Linked DNA regions of Oryzias latipes. The protein of the gene in region 1 purifies or fractionates together with the protein of each later gene. This does not show direct contact. Links are inferred from orthologs where the notes say so. Each region holds a gene or a part of one and is shown in the gene's direction. Other genes may lie near its edges.

What was found.
Region 2: the proteins of vesicle-associated membrane protein 8-like (region 1) and stx12 purify together in Homo sapiens (affinity purification with mass spectrometry; 3 studies listed by BioGRID and IntAct, counting the BioPlex papers as one, with this or other methods). This does not show direct contact. The link is inferred for Oryzias latipes from reciprocal best matches to the Homo sapiens genes VAMP8 and STX12.
Region 3: the proteins of vesicle-associated membrane protein 8-like (region 1) and syntaxin-6 purify together in Homo sapiens (affinity purification with mass spectrometry; 3 studies listed by BioGRID and IntAct, counting the BioPlex papers as one, with this or other methods). This does not show direct contact. The link is inferred for Oryzias latipes from reciprocal best matches to the Homo sapiens genes VAMP8 and STX6.
Region 4: the proteins of vesicle-associated membrane protein 8-like (region 1) and stx7 purify together in Homo sapiens (affinity purification with mass spectrometry; 7 studies listed by BioGRID and IntAct, counting the BioPlex papers as one, with this or other methods). This does not show direct contact. The link is inferred for Oryzias latipes from reciprocal best matches to the Homo sapiens genes VAMP8 and STX7.
Region 5: the proteins of vesicle-associated membrane protein 8-like (region 1) and syntaxin-4 purify together in Homo sapiens (affinity purification with western blotting; 3 studies listed by BioGRID and IntAct, with this or other methods). This does not show direct contact. The link is inferred for Oryzias latipes from reciprocal best matches to the Homo sapiens genes VAMP8 and STX4.
Region 6: the proteins of vesicle-associated membrane protein 8-like (region 1) and snap23 purify together in Homo sapiens (affinity purification with western blotting; 3 studies listed by BioGRID and IntAct, with this or other methods). This does not show direct contact. The link is inferred for Oryzias latipes from reciprocal best matches to the Homo sapiens genes VAMP8 and SNAP23.

Annotation. Positions count from the first base shown.
Region 1 is NC_019867.2:25,804,124-25,807,325, reverse strand, and holds part of vesicle-associated membrane protein 8-like, read left to right. Parts: intron 1-481; coding exon 482-643; intron 644-3,202. UniProt on the Homo sapiens protein: SNAREs, soluble N-ethylmaleimide-sensitive factor-attachment protein receptors, are essential proteins for fusion of cellular membranes.
Region 2 is NC_019869.2:17,750,869-17,755,013, reverse strand, and holds the start of stx12 (syntaxin-12), read left to right. Parts: upstream 1-1,345; 5' UTR 1,346-1,461; exon of another isoform or gene 1,462-1,478; intron 1,479-2,024; 5' UTR 2,025-2,063; coding exon 2,064-2,160; intron 2,161-2,605; coding exon 2,606-2,675; intron 2,676-3,474; coding exon 3,475-3,574; intron 3,575-4,033; coding exon 4,034-4,145. UniProt on the Homo sapiens protein: SNARE promoting fusion of transport vesicles with target membranes. Together with SNARE STX6, promotes movement of vesicles from endosomes to the cell membrane, and may therefore function in the endocytic recycling pathway.
Region 3 is NC_019862.2:1,653,413-1,656,912, forward strand, and holds part of syntaxin-6, read left to right. Parts: exon of another isoform or gene 1-511; intron 512-1,494; exon of another isoform or gene 1,495-1,586; intron 1,587-3,236; coding exon 3,237-3,331; intron 3,332-3,424; coding exon 3,425-3,500. UniProt on the Homo sapiens protein: SNARE promoting movement of transport vesicles to target membranes. Targets endosomes to the trans-Golgi network, and may therefore function in retrograde trafficking.
Region 4 is NC_019882.2:21,987,180-21,991,452, forward strand, and holds the start of stx7 (syntaxin-7), read left to right. Parts: upstream 1-1,473; 5' UTR 1,474-1,488; coding exon 1,489-1,633; intron 1,634-2,692; coding exon 2,693-2,785; intron 2,786-2,887; coding exon 2,888-2,957; intron 2,958-3,476; coding exon 3,477-3,567; intron 3,568-3,654; coding exon 3,655-3,792; intron 3,793-4,273. UniProt on the Homo sapiens protein: May be involved in protein trafficking from the plasma membrane to the early endosome (EE) as well as in homotypic fusion of endocytic organelles. Mediates the endocytic trafficking from early endosomes to late endosomes and lysosomes.
Region 5 is NC_019877.2:19,251,478-19,255,678, reverse strand, and holds the end of syntaxin-4, read left to right. Parts: coding exon 1-66; intron 67-137; coding exon 138-208; intron 209-332; coding exon 333-441; intron 442-551; coding exon 552-625; intron 626-893; coding exon 894-1,031; intron 1,032-1,109; coding exon 1,110-1,220; intron 1,221-2,732; coding exon 2,733-2,810; 3' UTR 2,811-3,701; downstream 3,702-4,201. UniProt on the Homo sapiens protein: Plasma membrane t-SNARE that mediates docking of transport vesicles. Necessary for the translocation of SLC2A4 from intracellular vesicles to the plasma membrane.
Region 6 is NC_019880.2:4,940,082-4,943,581, reverse strand, and holds part of snap23 (synaptosomal-associated protein 23), read left to right. Parts: intron 1-50; coding exon 51-168; intron 169-644; coding exon 645-830; intron 831-904; coding exon 905-1,049; intron 1,050-3,212; coding exon 3,213-3,275; 3' UTR 3,276-3,500. UniProt on the Homo sapiens protein: Essential component of the high affinity receptor for the general membrane fusion machinery and an important regulator of transport vesicle docking and fusion.

The DNA of each region.
Region 1 (3,202 bases):
TTTTGTGACGTGTAATCAGACACGACCATCGACACTCAATTCTTAAACAGTTTTCCCCGAAATTCTGACTAAATTAAGGTTCAGTTACAATTTTTCTGCTACATGTCTGTATTTGTTTCATTGTGTTCCTTGTGATTTTTGCATACATGTGCAATCCTCACGCTGCAAAAAACAGGCGCCCTAGAAATAGGTCAAAAATTCTTAACATAAAGAAAAATCTTTAGATGAACAAAATATCTGTCAACGGGGTAAGAAAAATTATCTTACCAAGAACTTTTATTAAAAAGTATTTTAGTAAAGAAATTCTGGTCACTAAGACATATTTTCTTAAATTAAGATTATGTTGCTTTGAAAAAAACTTTCCAAAAAGATTAATTTTCTTGCAAGACAGAAATAGATCATATCCTATATTTATTGGTAACCATAGCAACCTGATTATTGGCGAAGTGCAGCTAACTGTGGTCTTCTCCTGGTACGGCAGGAGCGAGGAGATCTGGCGGAGCCTCCAAAGGACAAAGTTGCTCAACTAAAGGATCAGGTGGATGGGGTGAAAAACATCATGACGGAAAACGTGGACCGGATCCTGGCCCGAGGAGAGAGGCTGGACGAACTCATGGACAAGACGGAGGACTTGCAAATGGGGGTCAGTGCTGCGGGGGGATTTGGTGGAGGAGCTGCTGTGCTCCGGCAGGCGTTTCTTCGTAAAAACACACTGGTGGAGCTGCAAACAGAGCCATAGTCTCACTCATTACATAACACTGAAAGTGTGGCTTTTTTTCTGTCCCTGAAGTAAAGTTTAAATTGCTTTTTGGCAAGACGTTGTTCCAGCTGCTCTCTATGACAAGAAGCTATTACAGTTTTTCTCCATTGGTTTGGCTCATTTCTTGAAACAGAAATTAGATTCTCAAAACTCTAAGATCATTTGGCAGAACAGTCTTACAGTTTAGCACAACACAATAGCTCACTTGCAAAATCTAATATATCTCCCCAAACTGTTCACTCATGCTTCAAAACTAAATTCCTTTCCCATGTAAAGAGTCAGTGCCACCAAAATGGCAAATATCCTTCTCAATTGCTTTGGCTCATTTCTTGATCAGACCGGACGTTCTCAACACTCTTGGTGCTTTTGTCAAAATAATGTGGATGGTTCAGCACAACCTGCAAAAGCTAATGTCTCTCCCAAAACAATTCCCTCCTGTGTCAAAACTAAATTTCCTTCTCACTTAAACAGTCAGTGCCTCCAAAATACTTTGTCCCTTTGGCATTGTGTAGGCACTGCAATTCAAAATGATTGGATGCTTTGTCACTATAGCAGAGGACCATTGAAATATCCCTCATGTCCACCTTTTAGTCTTAGCTCAGTCATTAATTGACAGTGGTAACTGTACTGTTTTTGTATAGCTAACAGAATACAATTCTGTATAAAACGGAAAAAAGAAAAAGGATTTTAGGGTAAGAGTAGCCTCTTAGGTATCACAGCACACATTGCACTCATACTGCCAAGGAAATTGTAACCATTATCATTCACACACATAAAGTAACTTTCATACATGGAAAAGTTTTATGCTGTAAAAATACAAACACTAACAAAAAACAATGAAAATGATATGCAACCTACAGTGCTGTAAATAATGCTTGAGTTTCACAACTAAAAGTTCTTCACTGGTCGCCTTCCTCACCCTCCCTCTCCTGGCCATCATCCACACGCTGCTGTCTGTCTGGCCACAGATTCTTGTCCACATCAGAGCGTATATTCTCCCTTGTGATGCAACGAGGGAAGAAACGGCGTGCATGTGGCAACCATCCCCTACACTGATCTCCTGTAATATCCTCACACGCAGCATCCATGGCATGGAGCAGGGACCTCTGATCTTGAGCCCGATGCTCATACACCACTCTCCACCTCCAAGTGGAAAAAAACTCCTCAATAGGATTGAGGAAAGGAGAGTAGGTATGAACATCCTTGGATGAGTAGTGAACCAGGCCCTGATGAGCGCGCCATGGTGGAAATTCACATTGTCCCATACAATAACATATAGTGGTAGGTGAGGCCCTAAGAGACCTCTCTCAGTTTCAGGGATCAAATCAAAATGAAGGCAATCCAAGAAGATGAGGGTCTTCTGTGTATTGTATGGGCCAATCCTGGGGATGTGAGTGGCCACACCATTCTCAGATATGGCAGCACACATAGTTATATTGCCCCCTCGCTGGCCTGGGACATCCTCCTTCGTTAGTCAAGTTCTAGTATCACCTGACTGTCAATTGCTGTAATAAATGTATCAAATGTTCCCAGGGATTCATATATCATATTCATGTATTATGTTTTTGACTAATTTTGACAATTGAACAGACTATTGTGCATGTGATGAGTTACACAATGAAATGACGCGGACTGATTTTGGAGTGAACAACCATTAGACTGAGAATCAACAATCAGTTTAGATCAAAAAGATCTATTCACTTGACAATTGTGCTAAATAAAGGCTACCTGTACTTAATCAATTGAAAGATGTACGGAGACATTTAGACTTGTACTAAGACATTTGCAATTTGAGGAAACCAATGAGAAAGTGGTTTGGATGTTTGTCCATGTTGTTTGGAGAATGTAATTTCTGTTTCAAGAACTGAGCCAAACCAATGGAGAAAAACTGTAAGAAAAAGTGTCTCCGCCTCAGACGTCTCACCACACGGGTACACTGGGCTCCTCACCTTGAAAGCTTTGATTTTACTGAAGCAGGTACAGCACAGGTGGAGCTGATGGCTTCGCCCGTTTCTCATTTCACTGTGTGTCCATTTCAATCAGCTATAAATATAGGTGCAAATAATAACATTCAGTCATTAGTCTTTTTGTGAGGCTGGGATGTTTTTCTAGTGATCTATGAACTTGTCTGCTGTAGAAAGACTTCAAGCTAAGCTGATGCATGTTCTGCTACATTTTTTTTTTATTATAAACAAAACTTCATGAGGTAGTTGATATAATAAATTAGCCTTACTGACGAGCCTTAAGGTAGATTTGCATCAAATTGGGAGAGTCTGTGAATATCATGAATCCAGACATGCAGACGTGATTATTGGTGCTTTTGTAGAACCCTTCATAAAGAATAACTTGACCTCTCAACATGTCCGTGTCTTCCAAGCATTTGCTGCATTTGGGGTTTGTAGATAAGCAGTCAAGGCTTCCATGTATTGATGAGGCTAAAAA
Region 2 (4,145 bases), on another chromosome or scaffold:
AAGGTCTATTACCACAGGCACCACTGTCACCTTCACTTTCCAGGCTTTCTCCAGTTCTTCTCTGAGTCTCTGGTATTTCTCCAGTTTCTCATGTTCCTTCTTCCTGATGTTCCCATCACTTGGCACTGCCACATCCACCACAACGGCTTTCCTCTGTTCTTTATCCACCACTACAATGTCTGGTTGGTTCGCCATTACCATCCTGTCAGTCAGTATCTGGAAGTCCCACAGGATCTTTGCCCTTTCATTCTCTATCACCTTCAGAGGTGTTTCTCTTTTTGACTTTGAGGTTTCCAGTTCATATTCTGCACACGTGTTTCTGTATATTATTCCAGCCACTTGATAATGGCACTCCATGTATGTTTTCCCTTGCAGCATCTTCAACCCCGCAGTTATGGTGTAAATGGCGTACACTTACAGTATATAGCGCTTTTCTACCTACAAGGCCCAAAGCGGTTTACAAACACAGACCCATTCACACACTGGTGGCGGCAGATTTATAACTGTAAACAATAAATCCTTGTTTATTTCTGAATAATGGTGTGTGTTTTGTCTATGACTTGATGCGTACTGATGGAATGCTGTTATCATACAATGGGTTTGTAACTAAATACAAAATTAAGGATTCTAGTAACTGTTATAGCAAAGTCTGTTAAGCAATTACCATACCTTTACTTAATCTTATTCATAACATATTACAATACAATGCAATCAAACCACAATTTCCAGAATTAATGGAAAAGTTAATGATATTCCCCTAAAAGATAAAAAAGGCAACAATAAACTCTAACCTTTAAACAAATAATTTTCTGCAACTTTAGCATAAACAATGAACGCGACTTAGAAACCACCCTAATGGACAAATCTTTTTCTTTATACACAAAGTACCCACTTCCACCTAAAATGAAAGAAACGCATTTTAAAATAATATCTAAAATTTACCCTGTTGGAGATTTTTTACATAAAAGATTCAAATTTCAATCAGAACCACGCATATTCTGTTCATCTGAAACTGAAACGTAGAACATCTCTTTTACAGTTGCAAAAATATTTTGGACTGATATTCACAGTTGGTTGTCACTCAAAGTTTTAAATATTCCCTTTTTTTCCTTATCTGATGTTCTTTTCTATATGAAAAATCTGGACCCGGGAATTTCTTTTTTTTCTATATGCGCATTTATAACGTTTGTTCACCCTTACTTGGTCTGTATGAGCATTTAAAAAAAACAAAACAACAAAAAACAACGTCATACCGAAATGTCACATACCAGGAAGTCGAATGCTCAGTTTTGATTGGTGGCTCACTGGACCCGGGCACGCTACAGCGTTTTGATTGGTGGTTTGGTTTCAAATGCGTGACCTGATTGGTTGTCAGAGGAAGTAGGGCTCGGTGATCTCAGCTGAATCCGGAACCAAGCCCTGATCGAAGGGCGAGAATTTGTTTCTTCAGCTGAATCATATGCAAGTATAAAATAAACGTCAGTTACCTTGTTTCGTAGTTTCAAATGTCGATTAAACGCTATTTTAAATATGCAACGCAACGATTTCATCGTTTATAATCTAACGCTTAGAAGTTAGCACGTTTAGCTAACACGTTAGCATCGTTCCGCTACGTGTTGTTGGGAATGTCACTCTGTGATGTAAAATTCCGTTAGCAGAACGTCGCTCTGGTAACATTGTTGTGGTTATACTATCAATATGTTAACGTTGCGGCTTCATGTTTGTCTATAAGTCAACATCTGCTGGTTAGTTAAATAAGCGTACGGGTCTTATGGTGTGCGTCATGTCAAAAAAAAAAAGCAGCGAAATCCTAACAGTTCTGTATATACTTTACTAGTCTGTATTATAATTTTGTGTGATGATTTTAATAAATGTCAGCTTTTTAGTCTGTGCGTTTTAGTAAGTTTTGAAGCGTGATTGCATTCTCCCTCCGACCTACATTTGGAGTTTTAGATTGAATTATTCATGTTAAATAACAGTTTGTGGCCTTTTTCAAATTTCCTTTTCTTTTTTTGCATGCACAGTTTTAGCTCAACATCAAAGCCAAGCCTTCCGCCTCAAACATGTCCTACGGTAAAGCGGAGTTCCGCCCTGTCCCGAGGGACTTTGGCTCCCTTATTCAGACATGCAGCTCCAACATCCAGAAGATCACACAGAACAGTGAGTCCTCCATTGCTGGGAGCTGAGACTCATTGTTAGTCACTGGCTCAGGAAGAAGTCATGTGAGAATGCTTACAAGAATCGTGATGATCTGCTGCTTAACTCAGGCCTGTTCAGGGGGGGAGATCCAGGTTAAGCAATCACATGGCTAATTCATCACAAGTGCTTCAGGAAAATACACTATTCTAAATGTTCAGGTTTGCTTCCTTTTTGAGATGTGTACAGTAAATAAGTGCTTACATTCTTTGGTACAAAACTCACAAATTAAGTTGCATTTTCTGCTGTCTATACAAGAATGGACACTAAACTATTTCTTAGCTCGTTTGCTTCTGCGGTTTGGATTGGTTTTTGTGTTTTTTTCTGTGTTGTTGTTTGATATCTGTGCACACAGATGATCCCTGAGTAAAGGTTTTGGAGATTAAGATTGTTTCTGTTTTCCTGACAGCCGCACAGATTAAGACCATGGTGAACCAGCAAGGGACAAGGCAAGACTCCAGTGAACTTCACGATCGTCTGTATGTCATCATTTCTTGTTTCATTTTTTTCTACCAGTTTTAATGAAAACACAGGCAGATGGAGGTTTTCTAGCTGGTTAACATCTGATGCAAATATCAGTGTTATCTTTGTTGGTAATAACCTCCTAATGAGGCTGAATATGAGACCAACACTGATGCAATTATTCAATAAGGCACCCTGACTTATGTTTAAGACAATATGAAAAAAAAAACTAACACAGCCAGTTTGCTTTACATGCATTTCTTGCACACACTGTTGTTAATCATATGTATTGAGAAGTAAAACCTTTAAAATTGTTATAATTCAGGCTTTTTGGTGACAAAATTTGGTTTCAGCTACAAAACCTACATCTACTGACCCAGGAGTCCTCCTGCTTTGCACATTTAAGTGATGCTGTGAGACCAGGAAGAGGTTAAATGACTGTTGCTGGTGGTTGTGGAGTAAACTTCAATAATCTCTTTTGTCTTCTGCGACTAAATGAATGTGTCACACTTTTTGATGGCGTGTTTTCACTTTGCAAAGAATTTTAAAATTTTGATTTATTTCAGAGCTGGTAGAAAAGCTCTATTATTTGATTTAAAAAAAAATACTAAGAAAATTAAAAATTTCAAGCTTTATTTGAATTGAATTGACAATAAAAGCAATTTACAGATGCATTAACAGTAGTGCATTACACATTGAGTGTGCTTTAGTGTGGAGCAGAATGGCTGGGACTGTAATAGCCTGAATCTGGGAAGCAGCTTCTTCTTGTGGCTGATGTTCAGTCCTGTTTTTATTGATGCACAGTTTTCTCTGCAGGCAGCAGATCCAGCACTACACTAACCAGCTTGCGAAGGAAACCAACAAACACCTTAAAGAACTAGGCTCTGTCCCTGCGCCTCTATCCCCCTCTGAACAGGTAAGTGGGAGTTTGTTGAAACGTCTGCATGAAGACCAAATCCTGAGTTTTTACCAAAACTGTCTCCCCTGACTGCAGTATTCCAAACACGGTGTGCAGCAGTACTTCAAAGTATTTTTGCAGCAGAAAGGTTTAACTGGAGGGAGATGGTTTGCTGTTGTGACCTCTGAAGTGATCAGATATTAGTAAAAGAAGGCGATTCTTGTAGTTGAGATTTGCTAATTTTTTGTTTTGTAAATTTTAAGCAGGAGATGAAAGCCGAGTTTATGTATAAACGATACAGAGGAAGCAGGGATTTTTCCTGAAAATCTTTAGGAAAAAATAGGAGTTAAGTTACAATGTTGCTGCTTGAATGTTGGAAAGTGATTGTCAGGATTGAACTTTAAAATCTTAACCGTTATCTAAATGCTTTTTTAAAAAGTGTCTCCTAATGTGCTTTGGGTGCTCTGCTCTGTCCAGAGGCAGCAGAAGATTCAGAGAGACCGGCTCATGAGTGATTTCTCTGCGGCGCTCAACAACTTCCAGGCGGTTCAGCGACACGCAGCCGAGAAAGAGCGGGAGTCCATAGCCA
Region 3 (3,500 bases), on another chromosome or scaffold:
CTCTGGGTTGCAAGGCAGAGTCGACCAAAAGTCTTGTTTGATGCTTTAAATCCATGAAACGAATAGAACGGTGTGCAAACTGAAATCCAGTGAGGTGGCTCTGAACTTTGAGCTTCTAGGCAGGGACTCAGCCCTCAAGATGAGGGTGTTCAGTGATGCCTCATTTGGCAATCTTTCAGATGGAGCCACTCAAGAAGGAAACCTGATAGTTCTAATGGGAGAACGTGGAAAGTTTTCACCGCTCCCCCTCAAAGAGAGTGAACAGAATTGTGAGGAGCACACCTGCTGGAGAAACACTGGCAATGTCTGATGGAACTGACAATGCACCGTTTGCAGCAACACTGTTCTCTGAACCAACGACTGAACACGCTCCACCCATAATCTGTGTCACAGATTCACTGGCTGACGCACTGAAGTCTGTCTGGAAAAAAGTGCCAACTCATCCAAGCAGAGTTGAGCGAGTGTTGTGGTACAACGTGAAAGAACAACTTGCAGACTGCTTTACCAAAAGGTGCATCTGTTAAGGCTCACTCTCTTTACACCTCCCTGTTTTTGGGGTTCTGGGATTGGAGCTCAGCACAGAGAAAGCATGTTCCTTAACACATTGCAAACGCATAGTAGAGTCAAACCCAAAGAAGTTTAATCTGGATGCAGCGGAGCTGTCAAAGAGGAAGGCCTTCATCACCAGCACCAGACATATGGTCAGGGTAAGCCTCCGCCACACCTCAGATGTGAACTCGCTTTGGGAGGAACCCCAAACGTCTGCAGCACGGTGGTCTGGTTCCCTTCGGTTTGGTCAGTCTGGTAGTTCATTGAAATAGTTGAAGACCAATGGCTCCTCCAAGTACAGCCCTCAAAGATTTTAAAAGTAGAACTCATCACATCTGGAGAGAATGGTGGCCTGACGCTGGGCAGCATAACAGACCCCTAAACTAAAAAGATGATCTTTACTGTTCAGCTGTTTGCACACATAATGAATGATTATCCTTTAGAAAGCATCCCCTCCACAGGAACACATTTGGTCTGGAAAGGTTTGGTTTGTTTTTTAATAGCAGCAAAGACATCAGTGGGATAATGTCACGTGTCACGATTCCCTAACAAGGAATACTTATTCTAAACAAAACAACATGTTACAGCTGTCTGAATGGTGGGCCTGACAGAGTAAAGAGGGAGTTTTGTTGAGTCCATCTAAAAACAAAAAACAATACAGAAAGGAAGGCCTTCATAAAATCAACTTCAGTGATTTTACAAAAAATAAAGCACAAAAGATCTTTCAGACAAGACGGTAAATATATATTTTTAACGTCTTATTTTAACACTATATTTAACTGAAAGCTGATTTAGTTCTGGGGAACTGCAGCTTTTTCAGGAGTGCTTCAGATTTACGAGGGGGGGGGGGGGTGCTATAGCACAGTTTACATCAGAAATCTAACCATACATGCCCCATTAGTTATTTTCTTAACACGGATCAGTTGTCTTGGACTCCTCCAAAAGGTGCATCTGCATGCTAGTTACCTGAAGCCCCGAGTGAAGGACAAGCGGAACTTAGTTCATGTTAAATGCAGCAACAGCAAATTCAGTGTTGTTAAAAAAAAAAAAGGCTCGTCTGGATCTGTGGGCACCCCTCTGGGGCGGGGCCCGGTGTTGGGCCCTCCTGGCGCGGTGGGGGGGCTGCTCTCCTGGTTGGGGTGGGGCAGCACTTTCTTTCCCCCCATGCCTCCCTGCTCTCTGGCTCTGGGGGCCTCGCGGCGGTCCTGCTGGTCCTGGCCTGGGTGGCGGATGTGGTCGCCCGGGGGGGATGTGTGGCGTTGGAGGATTCTGGCTGCCGCTGCTGCTGTGGCGGGGGTCTTGGTGTGGGGGTGGCTGGGCACTCTCCCTCTTCTTTTCACATTCCACCGTCCATTTTGGAAGAACACAAACACTCACCTGAGCACAGGTGTTAGCTCACCTTTGCACTAATAGTTTGCGTGTCGAATGAAATATAATTTCACACTAGTTGGTTTGAAGTCATAGGTATGCGTGTGTGAACACTATCTGTTTTGTGTACATGTTGACAGGTGGACATTTTTACAGCTAACAGGTGTGTTGATAACATTTGAGTGTGCGTGTGGACAGGCCCCGCCTTTTGAGATTTGTATTCTATCTGAACCTTACTGTAATGATAAACATCCAGTAACTTGTTGCTTTATGCCGCTTTATGGTCTCACCCCCCCCCCCTCCTTTAATCACCCCCCCCCTCTCTAACCTCTAACATCCCTCTCTCTTCTTCCCTTCTTTCCTTTTCCGTCCGGTCCAACACACAAGTTTTTCAAATATGATTGAAATTAATAAAGTTCGGCCTCGATTACAAAAGGGGTTTATTCAGACATACCTCTGGTTTGTCAGAAGATTTATAACCCCTCTTGTTAAAGTAAAATATGTCCAACACAAGAGGCCCTCAGCTCTCATCTGTTTGCCCAGCTGTTGGACAGGACAAGTTAAAAAAAAAAAAAAATAAAAAAAAAATAAAAAAGAAGGTGAGTTTGAGCTATAAAGGCAGGGACTGTTAAATAACAAATACTTCTTTATTTGTTTTATGGTAATTGCACATATGTGCTCTTATTTTGAAAGGGCAGGATGGATGGGATGGGATGGGACATTGTTGTGTTGATGACAGTGGAATGAATAAATGTAAGCTAAGAGGTGAATTAGAATTTTGTTTAACACTAGTGACCCTCTGGGGGGGTAAATATCCCGCTCATGTTTAGTGTGCTGAACTGCTGCTGCACAGAGGTGTAACAGGCTGTGCATGTACTCGTACTTTAGTACATTTTTACTTGAACTACGAACATAAATGTCTGTTCATGACATGACTGATAAAGTTGATTTTAAAATGAGATTAGATGAAACTTTTTATCCACTTTATCTTAAAATAGCTTTATAAAAGCCTTCTTTTCAGCAATCAGCCAGCATTTAAGTCAGGAGCCGTGATAATTGAAGAACCAACCATGGTCACAGCATCATGAAGAAGCTACAGCGTCCTGGCTAACCATAACCCTCTGTCTCCGGTTCACCTGTGGAGGAGAATCAGAGACGGAGAGGAACAGTACTGTGACATGGTCGTGGTGTCTAAAGGTCCCTGTTTGCCCTGCTGTATATTATGGTATGGCAGCGTTTGTATTCTGATGAAACGTGAAAGTAAAACCAGATGTCTGCTGCTGCTGTTGATGTGTGCGTCTGTGTGGTTCCTACCGCAGAATGCTGGATGATTTCAGCCATGAGATGGACAACACACATTCAAGACTGGACAATGTCATGAAGAAACTGGCCAAGGTGTCACATATGACCAGTGGTAAGAGATCTGCCCGGCAACCAGATACAGCGGTGCTGCTTCACACATGGTTGGTTGTCAATGAAAGACTCTGCTGCCTTCCTGTTGTTGCAGATCGCAGACAGTGGTGCGCCATTGGCATTCTGCTTGCTATTCTTCTGGTTGTCGTCCTCCTCTTCTTCATCCTTTG
Region 4 (4,273 bases), on another chromosome or scaffold:
GAGCGCCCTTCCACATATTCCAGCTACAGAGCAAGAATGAGTCTGTAATACAACACAGTTGCATGTTGCTGTTGACGAATACAAATATGTCATTGATCTGCCAGTTTGGAAAAAGATAGTGCAAAGATATATATTCTATATGTGGATAAACACCTGCTGCCTCCTACAGACCTGCTGCTGCTTCCACGACGCTTCAGGTTCATGTCCTGCTTCCTCCTATGTCTGTGATCCAGATTTCCACTCCTCTACTGAGTGGAGACGAAGGGTCCAAAGGGGAGAGAACTGCAGGGGACCTCCACCTGAGGAAGACCTCCACCTGAAGAAGACCTCCACCTGAGGAAGGCCTCCACCTGAAGAAGACCTCCACCTGAGGAAGACCTCCTCCTGAAGAAGACCTCAACATGAGGAAGACCTCCACCTGAGGGATACCTCCTCCTGAAGAAGACCTCCACCTGAGGAAGACCTCCACCTGAGGAAAACCTCAACATGAGGAAGACCTCCACCTGAGGAAGACCTCCACCTGAGGAAAACCTCAACATGAGGAAGACCTCCACCTGAAGAAGACCTCAACATGAGGAAAACCTTAACATGAGGAAGACCTCCACCTCTGTCTCCTTTCCCCCCTCCTTCTCAAATATGTGGCCTTCAGACTCTGTCATATTTTTTGAATAAACATCATTTTGCTCCAGCGCGCTGAAACTATGTTTTAGTCCTTTATTGTTAATGTTATGACTTGTTTTTGTGGAGTTGACTCGTTTCCATCCTAAAGGACCGGGGCGCAGCAGAACCCTGAAGCCTTGTCTCCAGTCTTTGGTGGGAGTGTCCCCTGGCCCCTGCGGCTCCTGCGGCTCTTGGCTCCAGCGGGGCCGGGCCGTGCGCGTCATGTGACCGGGGAGTGGCTGCGAGTCAGGAAACGGCGCAGCTCCAAGTCTCAGCGCAGGTAAAGTCCAAACGATCCCAGAAACGAACCGAACCGTTCTAGAGCAGGTTTTGGTCTCGATCCAAAATCCTACCGCGGGTTTCGGAGCGCTTCACTTTCTGAGGACAAACGGCGAGATGTCCCGAACCGGGCTGGGGGCGGGTGGGGGGGCAGTTGTGTAGAGACCGGTAGTTTCATGAGCTAAACGTCACGTTGACGCTTAAAGTTCGGGGTTTTATAAACAGAAACTCCGGGAGAGAGCAGCCGTCACGGAAGGACACAGACCGTGGTGTTCCGAGAAAGTCCTCTGATTTCCGCATTTGCGGCTGCTGGAAAGACTGCAGCCCCACCGACCGACCGCTGCAGGCGGCAGGCTGCCCCGTAACGCACGGCGGAGGGGGTCTTGACGGGGTCCTAAAAACGCGTCATCATAGCAGACGCTGGAGCGCCGCTGGTCCCGGAAACGCGCGTGAGCAACTGCCTGACCCGCGTCAACGCCCCCCCCCCCCCCCCCCAACTGGCCCCCGATCAGAGCAGACTGGGCATGAGCCCACGTTGGTCCAGCATGGATGGGGGTCAGGGGTCAGCTGGGCTGGTGTTTGCTGCAGCAGCTCTTTGGTTCTGACCTTCAGCGTTTCAGAGTTTCAGGATTTGTTCTGAGAGGAAAAGCAACTTTCCTTCTTTGTGTTTTCACTGCCTCCATCACTCAAAGCTGTGAGGAAGTTTCCATCATCTCCATTTGTTATCAAAACGTTGGTTTGACCTCAGACTGTTGATGCTTATGTCAGACAAACGCTGATGATGGTGTAGTTTTCCCTCCTGATCCTGTTGGTACAGAGTAAGCCCACCTTCACTTCCCGTCATCCATAGCTTTAGCGGCACCACAAGAATGCTGCTCAATATTGGAGCTGTCCATGGATCTATTTGTCTGCAGGTGGGGGCATCAGAATGGAGCAGGGCAGGGACACTTTGGCCTGGCCAGAGTATTTTCTACATCACTAGTCTTCATCACAGTCTTTTTTTGTCTGCTCCTGATTGACAACAGTTTTGGGTTTGGGTTTTGCCAGCACCCGTCCTGCTAGTTAAAAACCTACTCCAATGAAAATGGTGTTTGTGGTGTTTTTACATGTTCTTGTAGCATTTTCTAATGATGGAGGACATACATATATATAGAAAATCAAGCTTAAAACTGCATTTCTGAGTATTTCTTTCTTCAAATCGTTGTGAATCAGGAGCAGAAGAAAAAATGCTGTTTGAAAAACCTCTTAGTTGTTACGTAAACTACAATCAGCAGGTCACCAGCTCCCTGCTCTGCTCTATTCTGATCTGTCAGACAAACAGATCCGTGAACGTCTTTGTCTTCCTGGTCTGACCTGGAATCTGGATCAGAACTGGACGGATGATAGATCTGATGTTGATCACCATTTTTGTTGCATCACTAATATTAGCTTGAGGTTGTGAGGGGCTGTAAGCTAGCAGGGGAGAGTTGTAAAAAGATGGATGACGGGAAGGGGGGGTGTTGTGCTTTTCGCCAACAGTCCCGCCCACACCTTAGAGGGGAATTTCTAATGAATTACTCCCAGTCCGCAGAAACTATGTCCTAGAAAACGACAACGTTTTCTGATTTAGTCTAAAAACAGCAGAATCGTAGTGAAAAGACCGCTGGGAACACTTTGACAATAGATCATAAGATGATGGTTGGGGGACTTTAAAGGTTAAACATGCAGTTTGTATGAAAGCAAGACATAAATGTGTCTTTCTGTGTGAACTCAGCTCTCATCATGGCCTACCAGGCTGGGATTCAACGGGAGCCCGCCGCTTTGGTTCAGAACATCAGCTCCAACATCCAGAGGATCACACTACTGAGTAATGCACACACACACACACACACACACACCCACACAGACCTGTGCACATGCTGAACCCCACTGGACCCCCAGCATCCTCACTCATGGATCTGTGTTCCAGCCTCAGAGCTGCAGAGGGCCGTGACCCTGCTGGGGACGGAGCAGGACAGCAGCCAGCTCAGACAGACGCTGTGAGTTCTGACCGCCTGCTTGATCACACATGCAGCCAAATGAGTTCAAACCGACAGCCGGCCTGTCTGTGGACGGTCACCATGCACACACACACATACGTTTCCCTTGTTCCTTCAGTCAGTTCATTTGTAAAGACTCCTGAATGGCAGGAAGCAGACTGTCTTTATTATTTTAGCATCTAATTCATTCATCAAAACAGAAAGATAACTTTAAAAAGATGTTCTAAACACATACATGTTCATATACACACATTGGAGATGCAGGTTGTTACTAAAGTAAGTTCTATTCTTATAACAGTGTTTTACTTGAATGGGATCATTTGTCCCTGTTTTAAAACAGTTCCATTCAGTGGGTTTAAGGTTCAAAAAGTAGTTTTCAACCTTTAGAATAGTTTTTTTTTACTCTGTACTCAGCTAGCTCCTGAAACCCGAGCATTTTCCACGTCAGGAGTAATGGATTTGTAAGATTTCTGTTTCCTCGAGTGAAACGTTTCACAGATGCTTCCCTCTGGTTCTCAGTCAGCAGAAACAGCAGCAGGGGAACCAGCTGGCCAAGGAGACCGACCAGCTGATCAAGGCCTTCACCGCCCTCCCCGTCGGTCCCGATCAGGTACGAGGCCCCTTCGTCCCACGCACCGATCACATCGAACCCGGTCAGGAGTTTGTGGGAATTGATCAGCTGTGTTTGTGTTTTCAGAGGCAGAGGAAGCTGCAGAAGGAGCGTTTGCTCAATGACTTCTCTGCTGCGTTGAACAGTTTCCAGAAGACCCAACGGCAGGCCGCCGACAAGGAGCGGGAGTTCGTGGCCCGAGTCCGAGCTGGCTCCAGGCTGTCGGTTCGTATTCGCCTTCGTCATTTCTGGGAGTGCTGTGAGCGAGAGCTTTCCGTGCACGCTCACCTCATACTCACACGTTCCACAACCAGGACCATCCGGGTTCTTTCTGAACAACACTGCCATGGTTTCCCGGTTTCAGCTGTTCTGGGCCATAATGTACCATCTGCTCAGAGTTTGGCTGAACGTTCAGACGTAGACAGGTTATTCAGATGAAACCCTCCAGCTGAGGAAATGAGAAAAGCTTCTTCCAGTGACAGTGTGTCTGGGTTTATAGGCGTGTTCAGGATGGAGTGGGTGAGTGTGAGCGCTGTGAGGAAATGTTTCAGATGGTCAGGTGAGCAGATGCACCTGTCCCAGCCTGTTCCAGACCCAGCATGAGCCTTCCGCTGGTTGGGGGGCAGATCTCTTTATGTTGATTCATTGATGGTTGTGGTTCTTGCTGGCATTCAAACATCTCCATAAAGTAAGAACAGGCATTGTC
Region 5 (4,201 bases), on another chromosome or scaffold:
AAGAGCTTCAAACTCTTCGAGAAGAGATCAAAATATTAGCGAGCCAGATCCAGAGGAAGCTGAAAAGTGAGTATTTGGGAGTTCAAATCAAGAATTTTGTCTTCAAACCACTTAAGTTTCTTCTCGTCTCAACTGAGGTATTGAATCCAAAAAGTCGGACGATGATGGCAAATATATTCCCATAAATGTCCGGATGCAGCGCACTCAGGTAGCATCTTTACATATTTAAACAATAATTTTATCTATTTGACAGAATAGGCTTAAATGCAGAAATTTAGACTGTTGCATCCTCCTTGCTGCTTGTGTGAAATAAATTGGTCTGTTTTTCCCAGCATGCCATACTTTCCAAGGAGTTTGTGGAGCTAATGGGCCACTGCAACACCATCCAGGCCAAGTACAGAGATCGCAACGTGGAGAGAATACAGAGGCAGCTTAAAATAAGTGAGCTTTCTTGTCCCAGGCCGTCTGTTGGTGTTCAGGGACGTCGAAGTATTTCCTCACCTGTGCTTTTGTGAACATGTGACTCACTGTTTGATTGGTTCTGTCTCCAGCCGGCACAAACGTGACAGAAGAGGAACTGGACACGATGCTTCAAAACGGCCAAACGGATGTTTTCACTCAAAATGTGAGTAGATGTGCGAGAGGTGTCGTCATGGAAACGCTGCAGCTGTTTTCCATCACTCAGAAACATGTCATGATAGGTTTGCTCTCTTGTCACCTCTCGAATTGCTCTAACTGGACAGCAGATTTGGTAAGAAACAGACTTTAGTGTCACAGTAGCTGAGGCGTGAAGACCCATGCTTAGTGCAGCCTTCCTCAGAGGGATGTTAGCCCAAACACCCAGCTCGGTTGGGTTCTTTCCTTTACTTATTGGACCTTTTTGTGGCTCACAGATTTTAAATGATGCAAAAGCTACTAAACAAGCCCTAAATGAGATCGAGTCGCGGCACGATGAGATCCTGAAGCTGGAGCGGAGCGTCAGAGACCTGCACGACATGTTCCAGTACCTCGCCATGGAGGTGGAGGCTCAGGTATCACAAACACCAACAGACCTTCAGGCTGGTTCCATCCGATATAGGTTTCCATCATGGCGTTTTTGTGTCTTCCAGGGAGAGATGGTCAACAGAATCGAAGAGAACATCAAGCAGTCGTCCGACTACGTGGAGAGCGCAGCGAAAAACACGCAACAGGCCGTCACATATCAGAACAAAGCTCGCAAGGTAGGTGTAAATCATGGAGCATTTTGAACCCAGTGCAAAACAGGAAGCTGAATTTTTCTGACTTCCTGTTTCAAAACAAATAAATCCTCGATATTCTGACATTCACAGAGTTTCTTAATTTGTTTAAAACTTTGACATTTTGGGTTAATCAAAGGTATAAAAAAACTGAAAATACAGAGTTGGTGACAGAAATGAGTTATGACCCAAATTTTGCTTTAACTTAGACTAAAGTTTGATAACTAATATATTCATTTTTTTATCCTGGCATGGTTGAGAAGGTACACTAAATGACTTGACATATGGTCTGGCCTCACCTGTTGCACTCAATCAGTCCCTACAAAGCATCACTTCAAAGAGCCTAACCGGCACACACCTGATCGGTGCTTCATGCACAAAAGTTTCTGACTGTCCACCCCATAAAATGAGTTTTATTTGTAAAAAAGCATGTGATAGAGTCAGATTTGGTATGAATCCAATTTGGGAGAGATCCTGTTTGGGCCTCGCTAGATTTGTTGAAAACACAAATAGAAATGCTTTTGAAATTTTATTTTTTTAAAGAACTTTGCAGTTCTCCTTTTTTTTTTTTTTAAATCTCACTTTCACAATTGTGTGCAAAGGTTTCAATTTTAGAGAGCGGATCAAACGTCTCATTCTTTGCTTTTGACAAACCAAAACACTGAGTCTCCAGACTCATCCTAAAATTTAAACCCCCACTCCAATCATCTTTTGATTCGTTTAGTCTTTTAATTAGGATTATGCTGTTTTTAGCCAAATTATTTAAAAGAAAAGTCATTTTCTAGGACATGGGGTCTGCAGAGCAGCAGTAGTTTATCAATGTAGTCCCTTTTTCATTCAAAAATCAAAACATTCTAAAGTATCTTTAGTCAGACTGAAGCATAAATATGTAGTCATGGGGACTTGGGAGAGTGGCAGAGGTTTTAAAATGTTTCTATCAGTTTTTTCTGCCTTCATTTGGTTTAAAACCTGAACTAATCAGAAGTCCTCGTATTTTCAGATCAACAGTTTTTAACCCTGTTATAACAGTTCACATTCAAAAAGCCATGTTTTAAAGTTTGGTGGGATGTCATCACCAGCTAATTAGATCAGTGGTTCCGTCTCCAAACGCTTTACATTCTGCAGGTGTTTATAAAAATTGAGAATTAACTTCAAAGGCGATGGATAAAAATGTCTTTTTACATTTTCAGTTGCACAGACGGCTGCAGAAGAGCTCAGTTTCTGAAAGCAGCTGTTATGTGAATCATTTATTCCACTTTGGTAGGATGTTGTGGAGAGATTTAGCTCAATTTGTGGTCCTTCAGATACTTAATTTAATTTAAAAAATGCTATTGCAAATTTACCAGAAGTGTATAGTTCTTCTTTTAAGAGCTTCAACTATTTAAGGTTAGCTTTTATTTTTGATCCCTGATTTCATGCAAATATTTTGTGTATATCTGATTTTGTTTTTTTTTGTAATACCAACCTGTTTGATACCGTTTCTTCTTTTTACTGCAGAAAAAACTTTGGATCGCAATCTGCTGTGCCATCCTCCTCCTCATTATTGTCATCGCCGTCGTGTCCACGTTCACATAGTAAAAGCGGACGCTGACACTGCCTGCAGCATGTTGGATACATAGAATATAAATTATCTATACATTTTTTGTGTGTAAGAGGAGTCCACACAGGTGAATTTAGTCACTGAACATTTTTGTTTTCTATTCCTCACCTTCCAAGTCATTTTTCTGTAATGAAGCGTTTTTTTTTTGGGTCAGATTTTCAGTTATGTTTGCATTTTCATTTCTGTTTAAGGAAGGAGTCTCTTCCTGCAAAACTAACATACCGTTCCTGATTTCTTCTGTTTAACCCCCATTTTTCACAGAAAGACAGAAAGTGAGCTTAAAAAATGCAGTTGCAGTATTGATCTCAGGAAATCTGTTCACTTTTGTTACGCTTCCACTGTGAAACTGTAAAAATCAGTTTAACAGGTTTTTATAAACGGAAAACAGACTAATATTGTAAATAACAGATTGTGATCATACAGAGATTTTTTTTTATCTTGAGCATTTGGACTTCCAAGTGTAAATAGGGAAAAGTAAATCCCTTAGCACCAACGAGGCCAACCCCAGTTTGTATTTATTAAAACATTCTAAGCTGCTACTAAAATGAGTTGTTTCATAACTAAGCCTTAACTTTTCAGAACTGTGCCTTCTCCATGCTGTCTACTTAAGAATGTGATGCTGAGCACCAACACTGTCAAGAAGGGATGGATTTTTGATCTGTTGTAGCCTCTTAATAAAGATTCGGCACAGCTTTCTTTGCCAAACCCTTCTGAGGGTTTCTGTGACCTCCTGACACTCAGACGACCTGCTGAGAGACAAAATGACAACATCTAGCTCCAGGTTAGCTGAAGGAGACAACTTTCCCACTGTTCAGCTGTTAAAGCATTGTAATATTTGGTTTTTTAAATAAAATACTCTGCCTTTACTTTGTCATTGTCAGCTTTTTTTTCTTTATAAACATCTAAACGGTTTTAATTTATGCATGAAGTTGAGTCGTGGCATCTGGGCTTAAAAATCTACTTTCATGACATGAAAAAGTCTCCAGGAAGTGAGACTGAAGTCTTTTCCTTTAAACGTTCTGACCACACATGTACCAGAAATACAGCGACAAACCTTTAACACCAAACCGTCACTAATTTTTGGTCTTTTTATTCAACTGTAATTGTCTTAGTTTTCAAGTAAAACAATGTGGAATTACAAGGGATCAAAGGAATGCGGCAAAAGAAATCAGAAGACCATCACCAGAACTACCCATTACCCCCACCCCCCCCACCCCCCCAGGTAATAATCACCTTTGCTCAAAATTAAATCGACAATTACAGTCATCTGGAACTGCACCAGTAAATTTATTCACATTTTATTCATGTAATGTGATTTCTTTTCCTTTTATACATGACCCAAGAGCGATGAATGGCAAACTGTTTG
Region 6 (3,500 bases), on another chromosome or scaffold:
GCTGTTTCCAACAGCAGAGATGAAGATGTTGAAGTGTGTTTGTGATTCAGAGCAGCTCAAAAGAGTAGAGGAGGGCATGGAGCAGATCAACGAGGACATGAAGCAGGCCGAGAAAAACCTCAACGACCTGAACAAGTGCTGCGGCCTCTGCACCTGCCCCTGCGACAGGTACGCCGCTGCTGCTGCCGGCGCCGCCGCCGCCACTCAGAGTGCAGGAAGAGTCCTGTTGGATTGTTGGACTGCATTCATGCCAAATGTTGGAATCAGGAAGAATGCTGCACGCGTGCTCACATTGACATGTTTTGCAAAAGCGGAACATTTCATTTATTCATTAAAGCAGAATCTGTTTTATTCTTCTGATCCATTTCTGTTTTTATTCCGAGTTCTTAGTGAAAGTGTGACTTTGAAGCTTTTGTGTGACTTGTTGTTTCTAAACACAAATCTTCCTCAAATGCTTTCACTTTGGAGAAGGAGATACTTTGATTATCAAGGCATAAGGTAGGAGGCGTTCTGTGATTCCTGCCTCTTTATTTAGCATCTTGTAGAAATGGCTCATCCTGAAAGCAGTGTGTGTTTTAGTGAACCTGTTTGTGTGGCGTTCCCTGACGTTTTGGCGCATAAATGCGGTTTATATTTGTTTACAGAGTCACATCTCTTGAAAACGACCAGCGTTACAAAAAAACCTGGGGCACTGGAGGGCTGGAGGGGGAAAATGATGGCGACGGCTCAAAGGTGGTGTCCAGGCAGCCGTCACGCACTCGCAACGGACAGCCCGCCCAGACCGCCGCCAGGGGGACCGCCGCCGCGCCGTCGGGCCCGTACATCCAGAGGTGGGGCCTCGAACGGGTCCCCGAGTTCAGAGACCGCCGACCGTCGTTTCAACAAACGTGGCTTTGTGCTGCAGGGTGACCAATGATGCGCGAGAGGATGAGATGGAGGAAAACCTGGAGGCGGTGGGCGGGATCATCTCCAACCTCAAAGGCATGGCGATGACGATGGGACATGAAATAGACAAGCAGAACGTACAGATCGACAGGATCACCGATAAGGTGAGAGCCAGAGATCCACCAACCATCTGGTTTTATTCTCAGCTGAAAATGGTCTCATAACATTTTCAATAAATACATTTTAAAAATCCTAAAGAGAAAATCTGAAGCCTCACATGAACCTTAAGGAAGACAGACAAACAAGTGTCCTTAAAGCAAGTCAAACTAGAGAAAACAAGATGTTTTACTTTTTTAAAATAAGTGGAAAAAAACAACTAGAATCATTTATTTTGGGGGATTAGTTGAAAAAAGTATCTTTTAAGACAAAATAACATTTCAAAATTGGCTACTATCATTTTCATTATTAAATTATCAAAATTCTCACCGGAAGCAGATGTTGCTGAAAAAAGTTGTTTATAATTAAAATGTATAACATACATTCTTATACTTTTCCCCCAAATATATCCTATTTCAAGCTCTCGAACTTTCCTTTTTTTTTAAAAAAAAAATCCTCTAGATATTAGACTAGAATTACACATTTGAAGAGAAATTTCTCTTTAAAGTTGTATAATCATTAGTCCCCAAATCAATTAAAAAGCCCAGAAAAGTGATATGACGTAAATAAAAATAAGATGCTTAAAGATCAAATGAGCCGACAAGATATTCAGGATAAAAATCTTTTGTTGCAGTGCAGCTCAGTTCTGAAACTGTATTCCATTTATATTTACGACATTCAAAGTCTCAGACGTTCAGGGGAAAGATGAGAGATGGAGTGGAGACTTGATCAAATAAAAGGCTTTCTGGGGGAAAAATGTGGATTTTTAAATCCAGAGTTTGTTGTGAGTGGAGAGGATTTTCAATGTTTCGGCTTTTCTTTTATTTGTGAAAAAGCAGCTCGTTTTTATTTATTTATTTATTTTATTTTTTTAAGGACACCCAGTCCAGTGTCGCACAGTTTCATCATTCGGGTATTACTTTGAAACAGGTCAATGGCCTTGCTCAAGGCCACGGCTTTTGAGCAAACACACTGACTCAACCTGTTTTCATTTACTGATCTTCAGTTAATTATGTTAGCTTAGCAAAATTAAATCAAATGAGCAAAACATCCGGTTTCTTTACATAGAGCAGTGTTTTTCAACCAGTGTGCTGAGGTGGTCAGGTGTGCCCTCATAACTGATCTAAAAACATTTTCCATCTCCTGTATATCAGCTCTCTGTTCATCCAAACAGGCCCTGATAAAACACTGCGTAGTTAGGAGTATGAAAGATCATAAATTACTTTTCTTTTTGTGTTTATTTGATTCTAATTAAAGACATTTTGATAAGAATGACGGGACTGCAATTTAGCCCCAGCTAAAGCTGTTTTCTGAGAAGTCCCGCCCCTTTAACTGTCTCCGCCAATCATTCTTGGTCATCAGTCTGACCAATCACAATTGGTTAAAGTCTTCACTTCCTTGTCATGATTTGGCTCATAAAGTCGCTCAGTTCTAACAAAAATACCAGCTGAAGCTCGTCTTTAGCTGTGTAGCTTTCCACAGAATCCGGTGTCAGACCGTGGAACAAGTGAGCAAAACCATGAAGCTCAGAGACGATAGTCTGTCTGTGTTCGGCGGCAGGTGTCACTACATCTCCCATGATGCATTGGGTTAAAGTGACAGCGTCTCGACGCACAAGGAGTCTTTCCTCTTAACGTCTTGAAACCACAACGAACACACATCAAACAGTTTTTAAATCTTCTAACTTTTTTATTACATCTTTTAGATGTCACAAAAATGCATGTGTGATTGCAGAGGGCCTGTAGATCAATACAGACTATAGAGTTTCTCCTTTTTTTTTTTTTTTAAATTTTGGATGCTGGTGTGCCACAGGTTTTTTGTCAAAGTTAAAGTGTGCCGTGGCTCAAAAAAGGTTGAAAAACAGACATAGACGATAGTTGACTTTTTGAAGAACATAATTTTGATCAGAATGTGTAATAAAGAGATTTTGGCTCACAGTAGATCCCTGAGGGGGAAGCATGGCAGTGGAAGTATCATGGTAATTCCAAAGGTACAATTACTGCAGTGTTTTTGTTAGCTTTCAGGCACTGGAGGATAGAATCCTTAAGGCTTTTCTCAGGTTTATAAATGTTTTTCACTTGTTAACTGTAGTTGGAATTGTTGATACATTCCCGTCAAATGAAAAGTGAGCTAAAGAAAAGCTTGTCTACTTTTATTTTCTTCCTCTTCAGGCGGACATGAACAAAATGCGCATCGACGACGCCAACCAGAGAGCCAACAAGCTCATCAAATGAACGCCGACGTCTGCTTCGTTTTTTTTTTTTCCCCTCCTCCACTTTGGAGCCTCTTTTGCGACCTTCATGCACACAGTTTGTTTCCACACACGTCCGTAGAGCAAATCTGTCCTTGTTGGCAGCACAGCTGTCTTTTTTTTTTTTTTTGTTCTCAAATGTAGATGAGAAAACTCGACCCCCGCTGGACTGACCTGCCATCCCAAAACAGGTTCCTTCTCCTGGAAA